Schizosaccharomyces pombe: one gene and its partner. Changing the gene in region 1 together with any one later gene gives a genetic interaction. Each region holds a gene or a part of one and is shown on either strand. Other genes may lie near its edges.

Region 1 (5,098 bases):
ACTCATAAACAGAAACAAGAAACCTAGCAGCAAACATCAACAAGGTCATTCCTCCCATCGTAAACAAAAAGTATCGCCAACCCTTATTGTCTGCACGATGACAGACAGATTCATCGTCGGGACATGAAAAGTTAGAAATAAGACCCCATGATACCAAATTAGCAATCACTTGTCCAATGGCCCACCAGAAGGACATGACTGTGAGGAGCCACTGGTGAGACGAAGGTAAGGCTTCTAAAAAGATTGCCGAATCAACAGGCAAGTTACCACCCACACCAAAACTCCATAAAGCATCAAAAACACAAATGGAAGCAAAGTTAGGAGAGGCGCCAGCAATAACAGCGAACACACCGGTAAACAGAAATGTAAGGTTGAAAGCCCATCGTCTCCCAATTGTGTCAGCAGAAAGCGACCAAACCATGGCGCCTACCAATAAACCCAAATTTTGAGACAACGTTAAATAAGGAGCACGACCTTCAGCAGGAGGGTGTGGTCCATCCACTTCGTCGAGTCTCATTAAAATTAAAGATGTGCAGACAGGCCATATATTGTCAGACATCCAACCAAAGCCTGCAACAAAAAATAAATACCATTGATATCTGCCAAACCCAATTTCGTTCATTGCATTACTCAGGATACGGGATTTTGCCAAATAAGTTTTGCTAAAGTCATTACTGTCGAATAAATCGTCATCAGATTTGCTGGGCTGTATAGTAGCATCAGCCAATTCTACTGGATATACGAGCTCGGTTTCAGAAACATCTTCCTGCTTTTTGGACTCCGTAGGAGACATATCATATAATCTTGGAGGTATAGAAGAACTCATTTTTATACTGTCCAATTTATAAACATAGACAATAACAAGAAGGAAAATTAGTTCTATAATTTATATGTAATTATCAACGCAGAAACATTAACCAGATGTTATGAATGACTTCTATGAACACTGTGAAATGGTCGAAAAGGAAGGAGAAATGAGGAATTGACGCAAACAAAGAGGAAAATAGACAGAAAAGAAAAAGAAATGTAAAGAATCTCAATAAAAATTCGATAAATCTTACACGAAATACAGGTGCAAATACCTTTCTACCTAAAGATCATTAAAGGGAGCTTTCAGTCAGTCGCTGTTTGATTTGTTTCGATTCAACAAAACAGCTTGAAAGATATGGTAAAAGGAAGGAAGCTGCAAACGTAAATTTGACCTTAGAATGGTGTACTACTTCCATATTCACAATGTGTGATAAGAATGAGCTAATAAGGGATACTAGCCTGCATATCAATATCGAGTGGCAGTAAGTAGTTGTGCGCTAACCATCTTAGCAAATTCGGTAAAAAGCAGTATTTAAAGTCAGAAAAAAATATTTTGCTATTAATGGATTTCATGAGAAAATAAAGATATTGGTTTATTTTTGAATTCATAATGTTTTCAGTACCTCGATAATATGATGGAGTTCCAATATCATAAACTACTGTTAGCACTTGTGGTATAGAAATAACGATGTTAACGTGTTATTGTAATATCACTTTATATTTAAGAAGATATCATTAATTACCCTTAATAAGAATGCAATTTCTGTAACAAACCGTGGCGATTGTAACAAATAGTAGGCATACTTCAGAGTCAGTAAATAAAGTACAAGCATTGCTGGTCAAAATAATAAGACATATTATTACTAAAATATACTCACTAGTTTATGTGGTACACCTGCGATTTTTTCTGACTTCAATGTCTAAACATCGGTGCACTACGTTAGCAATCTATAGGGATAATCAGTTTGGATTACCCTAAAAAGACTTTGCATTACTTAAAATTCATAGTTATTTAAACTCTTAAAAATTGTTGGTCTCTTCGCTACACTTCTGTATTAACATTGAATTACGCAGCGATTGATACATTATTATTGCTTTCCTCAGCCAACATTTAACACTCTTTATTTGGACTTGTATTTTGTTGAGAAATTAGAGTCGAAAAGGACATCTTTTCTTCTCTAGTGATCTTTTTGTTTTCTTTTGGTATCGATCAAGTTTTGGGCTCGTTAAATTGTGTGTGTCCTGAGAAAGCAAACTCGGACTATAGGTGCATTAGCTGAAGTAAAAGCTATATTTTTGTTTGCTTGTTGTACATTGTAAAATGTCCTATGAACAGCTTCATGCTCAGTCGGGTCAGCTTCGCCAGCGCTTTCCTTCGAAGCATAGTGAGATTGAGGATGAGGTAGCAAATGAGAAGGAAGAGTTAAAAGACGCTACCAAGAGTGCTTTGGGTGAAGTTAAAACCAATAAGAAATATTACATTCTTGGTTATTTTCTCGTCCCTTTACTCTTAACCGTTATCGCTGGTTTTGTTCGTGTTTGGAAAATTGCCGATAGTAATGTTGTTATTTGGGATGAAGCCCATTTCGGCAAGTTTGCCTCGTATTATTTGAAGCATGAGTTCTATTTTGACGTTCATCCACCTTTGGGTAAGATGCTTAACGCTGTTGCTGGCAAATTGGTTGGCTATGATGGTAGCTTCGATTTCAGTTCTGGTGCTACCTATCCTGAGGATTTAAATTACAAATTTATGAGACTTTGGAATGCTGCGTTTGGAACTCTATGCATTCCTTTGGTTTATTTTACTGCATTAAACTTTAATTATTCGTTTCTAGCTGCTACATTATGCACTTTGATGGTAGCGTTGGACAATCATTTGGCTACCATCAGCCGCTTCATTCTATTAGACAGTATGTTACTTTTTTTTATTATCAGCACATTTTTCTGCTTGTCTAGATATCATGTTTATCATAAGGCTCCCTTCACCTTTTATTGGTTTAAATGGCTCTTTTTGACTGGTGTTTGCATTGGCTGCGTTTGCAGTGTCAAGCTTGTTGGTCTCTTCATTACAGCGGTTGTGGGTCTTTATACTGTTGATGAGTTGTGGTGTTTATTGAACGATAAGCGAGTTACTTGGAAGGCGTATGCTGGCCACTGGATTGCTCGCGTCTGCCTGCTTATTTTCCTCCCTATCCTTATTTATGCCTTTACTTTTTGGATCCAATTCGCTGTTCTCTACAGATCAGGACCAGGTGATGCTCAGATGCCTTCTCTTTTCCAGGCTCGCCTTGAAGGATCTCCTTTGACCAAGAATCCTATTGACCTAATGTATGGCAGTAAATTCACATTGAAGAGCAGAAATCCAACTGGTGCACTTTTGCATTCTCACGTTCAAACGTATCCTGAAGGTAGTGAGCAACAGCAAGTTACTGGTTATCATCACAAAGACGGTAACAATGAGTGGATGTTTGTACCTACTCATGGTGTGGCCTATAACTATGAGGAGAACGATCCTATGAATCCTATTCTTAATGGAAGCGTAGTTCGTTTAATTCATCCTTTTACAAACCGTAATCTTCACACTCACAAAATCCCTGCCCCTCTGAACAAACGTATGTATGAAGTCTCTGGATATGGCTTGGGTGACGTCGGAGATGAAAAGGATTATTGGATTGTAAATATTTTGTATGATACTGCTCACAGAGATGCGTATAACGTACGCTCTCTTTCTACCGTCTTTCAGTTGTACAACCCGGTAGTCGGCTGCTATTTGAGTTCATCATCTTCTAGTTTACCTTCATGGGGTTTTGGGCAAATCGAAATGTATTGTGATCCCGACCCCGATCCATCAAATACTGACACTCAATGGAATGTTGAAGAGCATATTAATCCTCGTCTTCCTGAAGGAAGTATTAACGATTATCCTTCTTCCTTTTGGTCTGATTTTCTTCACCTGAATCGCGCCATGTTACGTGCTAACAATGGTCTTATTCCTGATGAAGATAAATTAGATGCCCTTCGCAGTGAAGCATATCAATGGCCCTTCCTTTTAGCAACCTTACGAATGTGCGGATGGGGCGATAACCAAATCAAATATTTGCTGGTAGGGAACCCCGTTGCTTACTGGTTTGCAACTTCTAGCTTAATTGTTTTTGCATTATTTGTTGTGGGAGCCGTTTTAGCTTGGCGTCGTCGTGTGCTAAGATGGTCTCAAGAAGCTTGTGATACTTTCCATTATGCCGGCATTTATCCATTTTTGGGCTGGTTCTTTAACTACCTACCCTACTATATTATGGGACGTGTTTTGTATGTTCATCACTACGAGCCTTCGTATGCCTTATCGACTTTCACTGCAGCCTTCGTTGTTGACTGGTTTACTAAAAAGATGCCTAAGATTGTCCGCGTAGTTGTGTTTATCTCACTTTATGCTATAATTGCCGGAGTCTTTATTTATTTCAAGGATGTAACCTTCGGCATGCATGGACCTGCATCCGACTTCCATCGCCTTCGTTGGCTTAACTCTTGGAATGTTCATGATTAATTTCAACTTATTTAAAATAATATATAACATTCAATTTCTCTGTCTTTTATCTTAATTGGTGCTTACTTTGAGTCGTAGCTTACTGCTGTTTCGTTAACAGTTGACTGTCTTTTTTTAATATTGATTTTTATTAATTTTTTGTCTTTCTTTCAGCATCATCGTTCACGCCAATTTAGTGCAGTAAAGCTCTTATATTATTGCTGGGCAAGTGGATAACAGCAATGCAGAAAAGCTGTTAATCAATTTTCCATATCCAATACTGTAATCTGTAAAAGCGTGGATTATCTATCTATCCAATATATGTACAGGTTTATCTCTAATGCTTACAGTAAATTAGATGAAATTATCAAACGAGTTAAAACTCAAATCACATTTATGATGTACTTTTCAAAACCAAAATTATCAAATTACTTTAATACAAATAATGGTGTAAAGACTTCTACTTAAACATACTGTAAATACCCTCCATAGTCCTAATTTGCATGAAAATTTAAATATGAACAATAAAACAGATGAAATACAATAATCCTGGCTCTAAAAATTGCATATCCATTTAACCTAAGCTACTAAAATAACGTTTAATAAGTAAACACATATGGATAAAAATATGTGGGAAACTTCTCTTACAGTAAACTTCATAAAGTAAAACAAGCCACTGCCTTTTAGTTTTCATTCAATCTCCTGCTGCTCCGTAAAGTCTTTGGGATGAAAAAAACCTACAAACACTAAATAAAACAGCAGTGCAAC
Region 2 (7,540 bases), 860 kb from region 1:
CGGTAAACAGTGGAAGAAGAAGGGCTGGGCTGGCTTACTTGTTCTTGTTAGTTGATCGATTGGTCGCAATGTTCAATCGATATATGGAAGGCGTTTCTTTCACTTCTTTTTCTCTTTTTTGGCTTTCTTATTGTTCGGAGAATTTCCGTATCTTAGAGTGTTTCAGTATAATCAATCATCTATCTAATCTGGTGTGTGCTGCTTTAGCTTCAGCTTATAGGCATCAGCAAAAAACAACATCACCTTCAAAGTAGGCGCCCGAAATCATTGTTCATATTTTTGTCCTATACTTTTGTACTAACTGATAAAAATTATTTTATAGATATTAAAAGCAAATCTTATATATTTGTCACCTCCAAACAATTTTTTTATTGATATTCTCCATTCATGAAACATAAATTCATTCTTATAATAAAACAAAATAAATTTTAAGAAAATGAAAAAAATATATATTACGAGCTTAGTCTAAATACATTCTAATATACATCTTTAAAATAAATTTTCTAATATTATATCTTAACAATTATTACTTTGGTTCATTCAATTCTTTGCTCATCTCAAAAAATTATCTACTAGTGAAATGTTTATTTACACAGAAAATGACTATATATGGCATGCACCTCTTAAAAAAAAGGCGGACAGCTTCGTTGATGGATTATGTTTCAAAGAATCTAATTCTACTAAATTAACTCATAATGCTTTCAAAATTATTATAGTTTATGTGCAAAAACTGTGATGCTGAAACGTTCCCGCTGGAAAGGAGAAATAACGAAAATAATAATCGTCCTAAATGTCAAATTAATAAAAAAAAAAACATGAAAATAAAGTAATAATATACATGAGGAAAAAGAAATTATTCATAACTTAAAAAGAGAAATAAATGGTAAATAAAAAAGTTTAAAGTCGCCAAAAAAATATGTGTCGGCTAAACATGCAAAAACTCAATAATCCAACTCACGCTCGTGGGTACGATACTGTTCAAACTCCATTACATTTTTTCAGTGGAATTTGGATTCGATCATTGACGGAGTTTCTTCAAATGAAATGCTAGGATCATTAAGTATTGCATACACGATACAACAATATGTAATACCTCCTATCGCTTTGGAACATAAAATAAAATAAAATTAAAGAAGTAAAAAAAACATAAACCATACATAATCGTATATGAAGTGCCTTGTAGAGGTCTTTTATTTTTTTTTTCGCATCAAAGTTCTTCCCAGACAATAATACATGGAAGCACAATTTTTTTCCATGGAATTGTATTTTTATCACCAAATTAAACATTATTCAAGAATACCTTGTATAATATAGATCAAAAATTAATCCTTTAAACCTTTTAGAGATATTGATGAATTTATAAAAACGTAAGCGGTCATAAAAATACAAACGAGGCATGTAATTTTCAAGAGTTAAACATCTTCTCGTTATCAAAAGAAAACGAAAATAAGCAAGCTTCAAGCGAGTTTCAATTGTACCGTTAATCATCATATCACAAAATTTACTGCATGTCCGGAGAAAATTGTTGACCACGAAGTTTCTGAAAATCTATACCAGCAGAAGGAGAGTAAACATCCTCAAATGGACTACCACTTTGGTCATGAGATAAGTAGCCCGAAGCTCCGGGTTGCGACGCATACACACCACCGCTACTACTTTTCTCAATTAAATTACTATCCTGTCCAGCAGATGATGCTAAAGGTATAGACGGTGTTTGAATGAATAACCGAGGAGCAACCCCAGCAGAAACAGATGAATTTGTACGGGCTTGCGCGTAAACAGACTCTTCAGATGGTACTTCAAATCCATACGACGGGACAGAGTTCTCAGTAGCAAGGGAGACATCTCCAAATGGTACCTGAGATAACTGTTGACTTGGTGCATTCATCGTGGTGGAAATTGAAGAAGAGCCAATGCCGCCAAATTCTCTGTTTTGAGTCGTAAATGGGACGGATACGTTTGTGTTCATTGACCATGAATTTGGAGTGAGACCACCAGTTTGTGAATTGGGAAACTGCGCTGCCATGTCTTTTATTTCCGTGTTAATACCTTGTGTATTTGGATGCATCACAGGTCGGCTTGGTGAATTGGATGCTCGAGGAAGTGAGCCGACATCGGATGGTGCCGATAAAGGATATGATATATTAGATGTGCCAAGCTCACCAAACTGCGTGTTATCAAGATTAAGCGCTAAATTATGGTGCGGATAAGCAGATGAAACTGAAGGCTCATAAGAGTTTAGTCTTGTAGAACTTCCTTCCAAAACATTAGCAGATTTCATTGCTTGAGTAATAGGAGACACAGATTGAGCATGCATAAGCCCTTCAGTATTAGTTTTCGGAGGTAAAAGATGCTGAGCCAAATCCTGTCTAGCAGGGGTTGAAGTGCTACGAAGCCTTTTAAACTGGCTTTTATTGCCATATTCAGAAGAAGTGTCATGAGACAATCCCTGGATAGGAGGGTTTCTTCCTTGATGATCAAATACAGAGCTATCAGGTTGTCTAGGAAGTTGATTAGCCCATTGAGGGTCCAAAAATTGGTGAGGATTAAGACCTTTTTGAAGGCGGATTACAGACCCCAACTCTGGCGATGCCCTTCGAACCCGATCGAGCATTTGAAACATGCTAGTAGCTCTTCCCATCAAAGAATGTAATAAAACTTCCGAAGCCTGATTACCCTCAGTAAAATCCGTACAATTTCCCTGTCCTTCGGAAGTGATCATGTGAAATACTGGTGGAACACTCAGCTGAATATCCATTTGAAGCCAATATTCATTTGGTGCCGGTTTATCTCGACTAGACGCAGTTGCACTCAACTCATTTAACAAGGGCTCCTCTACTCTAAAAACGTGTATCGACTCAATGACAAAAAAAGAATATTCAATACGATACTGAATCCCCTGGAATTGAATCAAATATGCAAATAATTTCTTTGGCGGAGAGTAGAAACACATTAAATCCTGAGGAGAGGCTCGTAGTCTTTTCCATAAACCAATTACTAGTAATGTACAAGAAAAGTAGTAAAATTCCGAATCATATGAGGTCGGTTCTGAAGAAGTACGCATGTGCCCTGTTGCCATATTAGGAGGACGAACAGGCCCTGATGCTTTGTATGATGAAGGCTTGGAATGACCGAACATTCTGTAACCCCCAGAACTAGGGCTCACTTCTCTAGGATAGGAGTAAAGATCTGACTCTGGTTGAGGCATACGGATGCCTGTAAGTGGAGTAGCATACGAAGAGGGTGGAGATTCTACGTCGAAAGCTTGATTTGATACCGACATAGCATTTGGGATTGCGGAATAAGAAGAGGCAGAGTATTTCCTTTGACTTGAGACAGGAACGGCATTTGGACTTAGACTATTGTAGTATGTACTAGAAAGAGACTGACGGATCGGAATGTCTGACTCTGCTATGCATGGCTCCATGGAAGATTGCATAGGTCCACTTTTCATATAAAAGTTTCCTGTTTTTCTAGTTGGTTTAGGCAATAACGTGTTCGCATACTGCCTATTAGCTGCTATTCCCCCAACGTAGGGACTGGTAGGTGAAGTAGACAATACTTCGTGCGCAAATGCTTGTGAAACTTTTTGATTTAAGGAATCCAATTCTCTCTGCTCACGAAGGATCCTTTGTCTTTCTTCTTCTTGACGTCTTGAAATGAGCTTTGATTTTGCTCTTCTGTTTTGAAACCAAATAGTTACGCTACGTTCCGGAATATTCAACTCGCGTCCAATTTTTTCCCTTATAGCTGGAGGTGGATTAGTATCTTTGGAGAATTCCCGAAGCAAATAAGCAAGTTGATCTGCAGTAAGGCGCTGTTTTTTGCTCTTTGGCGCAGAAGTAGATCCGCCGCTCTCAGGAGTACCACTTTCGTGAGCGACATTCTCCTTAGCTTTCTCAACAGATGTAGCTTCAACAACTTCATTTTGCTTTGAATTAGCAGGTTCCGACTCAGATTTAACAATATTAGGTTGAACTGGCGATGGATTCGTCAATTTCGAACTATTCACATTATCAAATGAATTATTATCTGCAAAACTCGGTGCATCCGGTTTGGGTTTCTCCTGTTTCCAATCTACTTTGTTTTCGTCAAATTCAGGAGGAAAATAATTAGGATTGGTAGGATTTTGCTGTTCCCCTTGAAGATGCTGCTCATACGTTGAATGGGGTAATTGCATGTTATTATCAGATGGAAACTGACCGAGAAAAGAATCCATGTCATAGTTGCTCAAGGACAAATTCTCCGGGAGCATTGTAGGTCGCTTCTCAGAATAATTAATATTGTCATTAATTTGACCACCATTTTCTGGGTTCGAATAACTACGCATATTGTTCTTAGAAATAAAATGAAATGAAAATAAAATCCTTATGAGAAATAAAAATTTGCTTCAAAAAGTATGCCAAGAAATGCAAATTGAATGGTGACTTTGGAAGATTAATTAAAGAAAGCTCAGAGAAATAAAATGATGTAAAAAAAATTAAATTGAAAGAAATTCCGTGGAATCTCTGAGTACTTGAGGAGACGCAAAAAACGTGAACCTGGTACCCTCGAAATATGGGGCACTTATGAAACCCCAGCCGCTGAATTTATTGTAATTAAAAACTTATCCTATCCAAAAAAAAGTTTGACCAGAAGAAAACCCTAACGAAATAAATTTGATCCCTTCTTGGAGGGGACTTCTCTCTTTAGCTTTTGTAGCAGAGATTGTAGCTATGTTCAGATACATAAGCACAGTGGACAAGCAATACCCAAGCTTTAAAGTCTCCAAGTAGAAATAATTAGTACGCCTTCTAGATCTTGAAAGAAACTGATTGACGAAAACTAAGAGACACGACCCTTTGTAGACAGAGGCTATCGATCCCTGGATATCTCACAAATGTCAAAACAAATAAAAATTGACTAAATGAAGAGATGAGTTGTCAAATTTGCCTAAAAATTAAATAATAAAAGTTTGCTAATTAAATGATAAAAAATATTGCAAAATTAACAATATAATTATTCCCTTCTCTTTCCCCAATTTTTCTTTCCCTTTTTTGTTATTAAAAAAATAAATAAACCAAATAATTAAAGATCCGAATGTAATTGAGATATTCGTTAACGTTCACTGCTAATAGATCGTTGCTGATTGCTCCTCTAAATCTAATGCAATAAAACACAACTTGAAATATCGTAAAGAGATGCAATTTCACTCCAATTTGATCCTTGCAAGAGCCTAATTAATTTCTGTCCTAATTTAATGAATTAAACAGAATGCTTATGGTTTCATAAATAATGTAGTTTTTATATGGTTGATGTGGTGGTTTTAATTCACATATCGCTCTTCACTTAACTAACCGAACAATTATATTACGAACTCTAACGTACTACCTTGCCTTAGAAACGACGCCCCCAATACATATTGGTAAATCCTTTAGTAAAGTGAATGAACGATCGATTGCTTCTAATGAGCAAGTCTTTGTTTTTAAGACCTATTATTTGAAGGATACTTTTGTCGAATGGGTACATCTAGGGTCATATGTAATTCATAGAATATATAGATAAATCATAATTTTGTCCTCAACTTTACTATTAACTATGTGGGGAATTGTGGAGAAACACTAATGTTACATTTACTGTCTAAACTGTAAGCGAGAATACTACCTATCTGAATATTGTAATATAAAAACATAGAAACATTACTAAATTTTTAAAAATTTGATCTGTACCACTTGTTTGATTTTATACTTTTTTTTCAATTTATTCTACGGGTAATGCTGTTTTAGGAGTGCGAACTTAAGTAATTGTAATTGGGAGTTTTACCATAGTTCAAAGATTTGTGACACTTTTTATTATTCAGTGCTAAAGACTTGAGTGGTCTTATTAGGCGAATATACAGAAAGAATTTTATTTTCTCTCCATAAACTGCTAACTTCAATCTGGAAGATTTGCTAATATACCAAAGATTAAAGCTTATGTTAATAGACTATGTCGCGACTCTAAAAAGCCAAAACCATATAAATTGAAAATACTACGACATCTTGCTCGTGCTGATAAATTGTTTTAAAACATTTTTTGCACTTGCATTGTAGTGTAAATAGGACATGATTCTCAAAATCATAGACTAAAGAAAACCGCTTTGTTGAATGTTCTTCTTCAGCATACACATAATTCTCTTAAGCCTTTGAAAAATTAGCCTAAGAAATTAAATCCACAGAAAACCTTTATTAGGTAAATAAGTACAGTATTATGTACAGGTTATTACATGACTACAACGCTATTTAAGGCTAGTAAATAGTAGAAGCAAAATTGAAATGATATTTATAGATAAAAAGAAATACACATATGTTTTGGTATAAAAAAGTTTAATCGCATGCGATGCTTGTATATCTATAGATCGCAACTCCGCTTAAGTTTACGGAGCCTTAATATAAATCAGAAAATCGTGAGTAGAACATTGCTTAAAAGCGAAGGTCCCATCCAATTTTAGGACCTAAAATAGGAAGTTGTTCAGCTACGCTTTGAACATCCTTGTCACCACGACCTGAAATGGTGATCACAATATCCTTATCTTTAGGTAACTTTTTAGCAAGCTCCATTCCACCATACACAGCATGAGAAGATTCCAAAGCGGGAATGATACCTTCAAGATGACATAGAGCGCGGAATCCTTCTAAACATTGAGCATCAGTGACAGCGATAAACTCTGCGCGATTGGTATATTTAAGTTCAGATAATTCGGGTCCCACACCTGGATAATCCAATCCAGCAGATATAGAGTGAGTATCTTGAATTTGTCCATCTTCGCGTTGCAGAACATATGTTCGAACTCCATGAAATACACCAACTTTTCCCATAGTCAATGTAGCACTATGTTTGGGGGTATCTACACCATCACCACCAGCTTCACAACCCAACATCATTACACTTTTATCGGCTTTGAAGGGAGAAAACATTCCAATCGAATTGGATCCACCACCAACACAAGCAACAACTGCATCAGGAAGTTTTTTACGCTTCTCTTGCATTTGCGCTTTCGTTTCCTCGCCAATGACACTTTGGAAAGTTTTAACAATGGTAGGGAATGGATGAGGGCCAATTGCAGATCCAATTAAATAATGAGTGGTGTCTATTTGTTCGACCCACGCCTTCAAAGCTTCGTTAACAGCATCACGAAGGGTCTGTGTACCTGAAGTAACCGGAACGACTTCAGCTCCCAAAAGACGGATGCGAAAAACGTTGAGTGCTTGACGACGACAATCTTCTGCACCCATGTAGATAGTACATTTCATACCAAATTTAGCGGCACAGATAGCAGTAGCAACTCCATGCTGACCAGCACCAGTTTCAGCAATGATACGGTTTTTTCCTAAACGTTTGGCAAGAAGAATTTGCCCAATACAGTTGTTAATTTTGTGTGAACCACCATGATTCAAGTCTTCACGCTTCAACCAAATATGGGCACCACCACAATACTCAGTTAAACGCTTAGCATAATCGAGGGCACTTGGACGACCCATATACTCATAATAAGAACGAAATTCTTCCCAAAACTTTTCAT

Evidence for each region.
Region 2: of ogm2 (region 1) and phx1, extra expression of one rescues a mutant of the other (dosage rescue), as found in Schizosaccharomyces pombe (one study listed by BioGRID).

The regions. Positions count from the first base shown.
Region 1 is NC_003424.3:3,311,510-3,316,607, forward strand, and holds ogm2 (protein O-mannosyltransferase Ogm2), read left to right. Parts: upstream 1-1,912; 5' UTR 1,913-2,131; coding exon 2,132-4,351; 3' UTR 4,352-4,391; downstream 4,392-5,098. Other genes in the region: SPOM_SPAPB1E7.08C (transporter), read right to left, coding at 1-826.
Region 2 is NC_003424.3:2,451,218-2,458,757, forward strand, and holds phx1 (DNA-binding transcription factor, stationary phase-specific Phx1), read right to left. Parts: upstream 5,302-7,540; 5' UTR 4,331-5,301; coding exon 1,502-4,330; 3' UTR 576-1,501; downstream 1-575. Other genes in the region: trp2 (tryptophan synthase), read right to left, coding at 6,441-7,540. UniProt on the Schizosaccharomyces pombe protein: Trnascription factor that regulates the expression of the homocitrate synthase (HCS) lys4.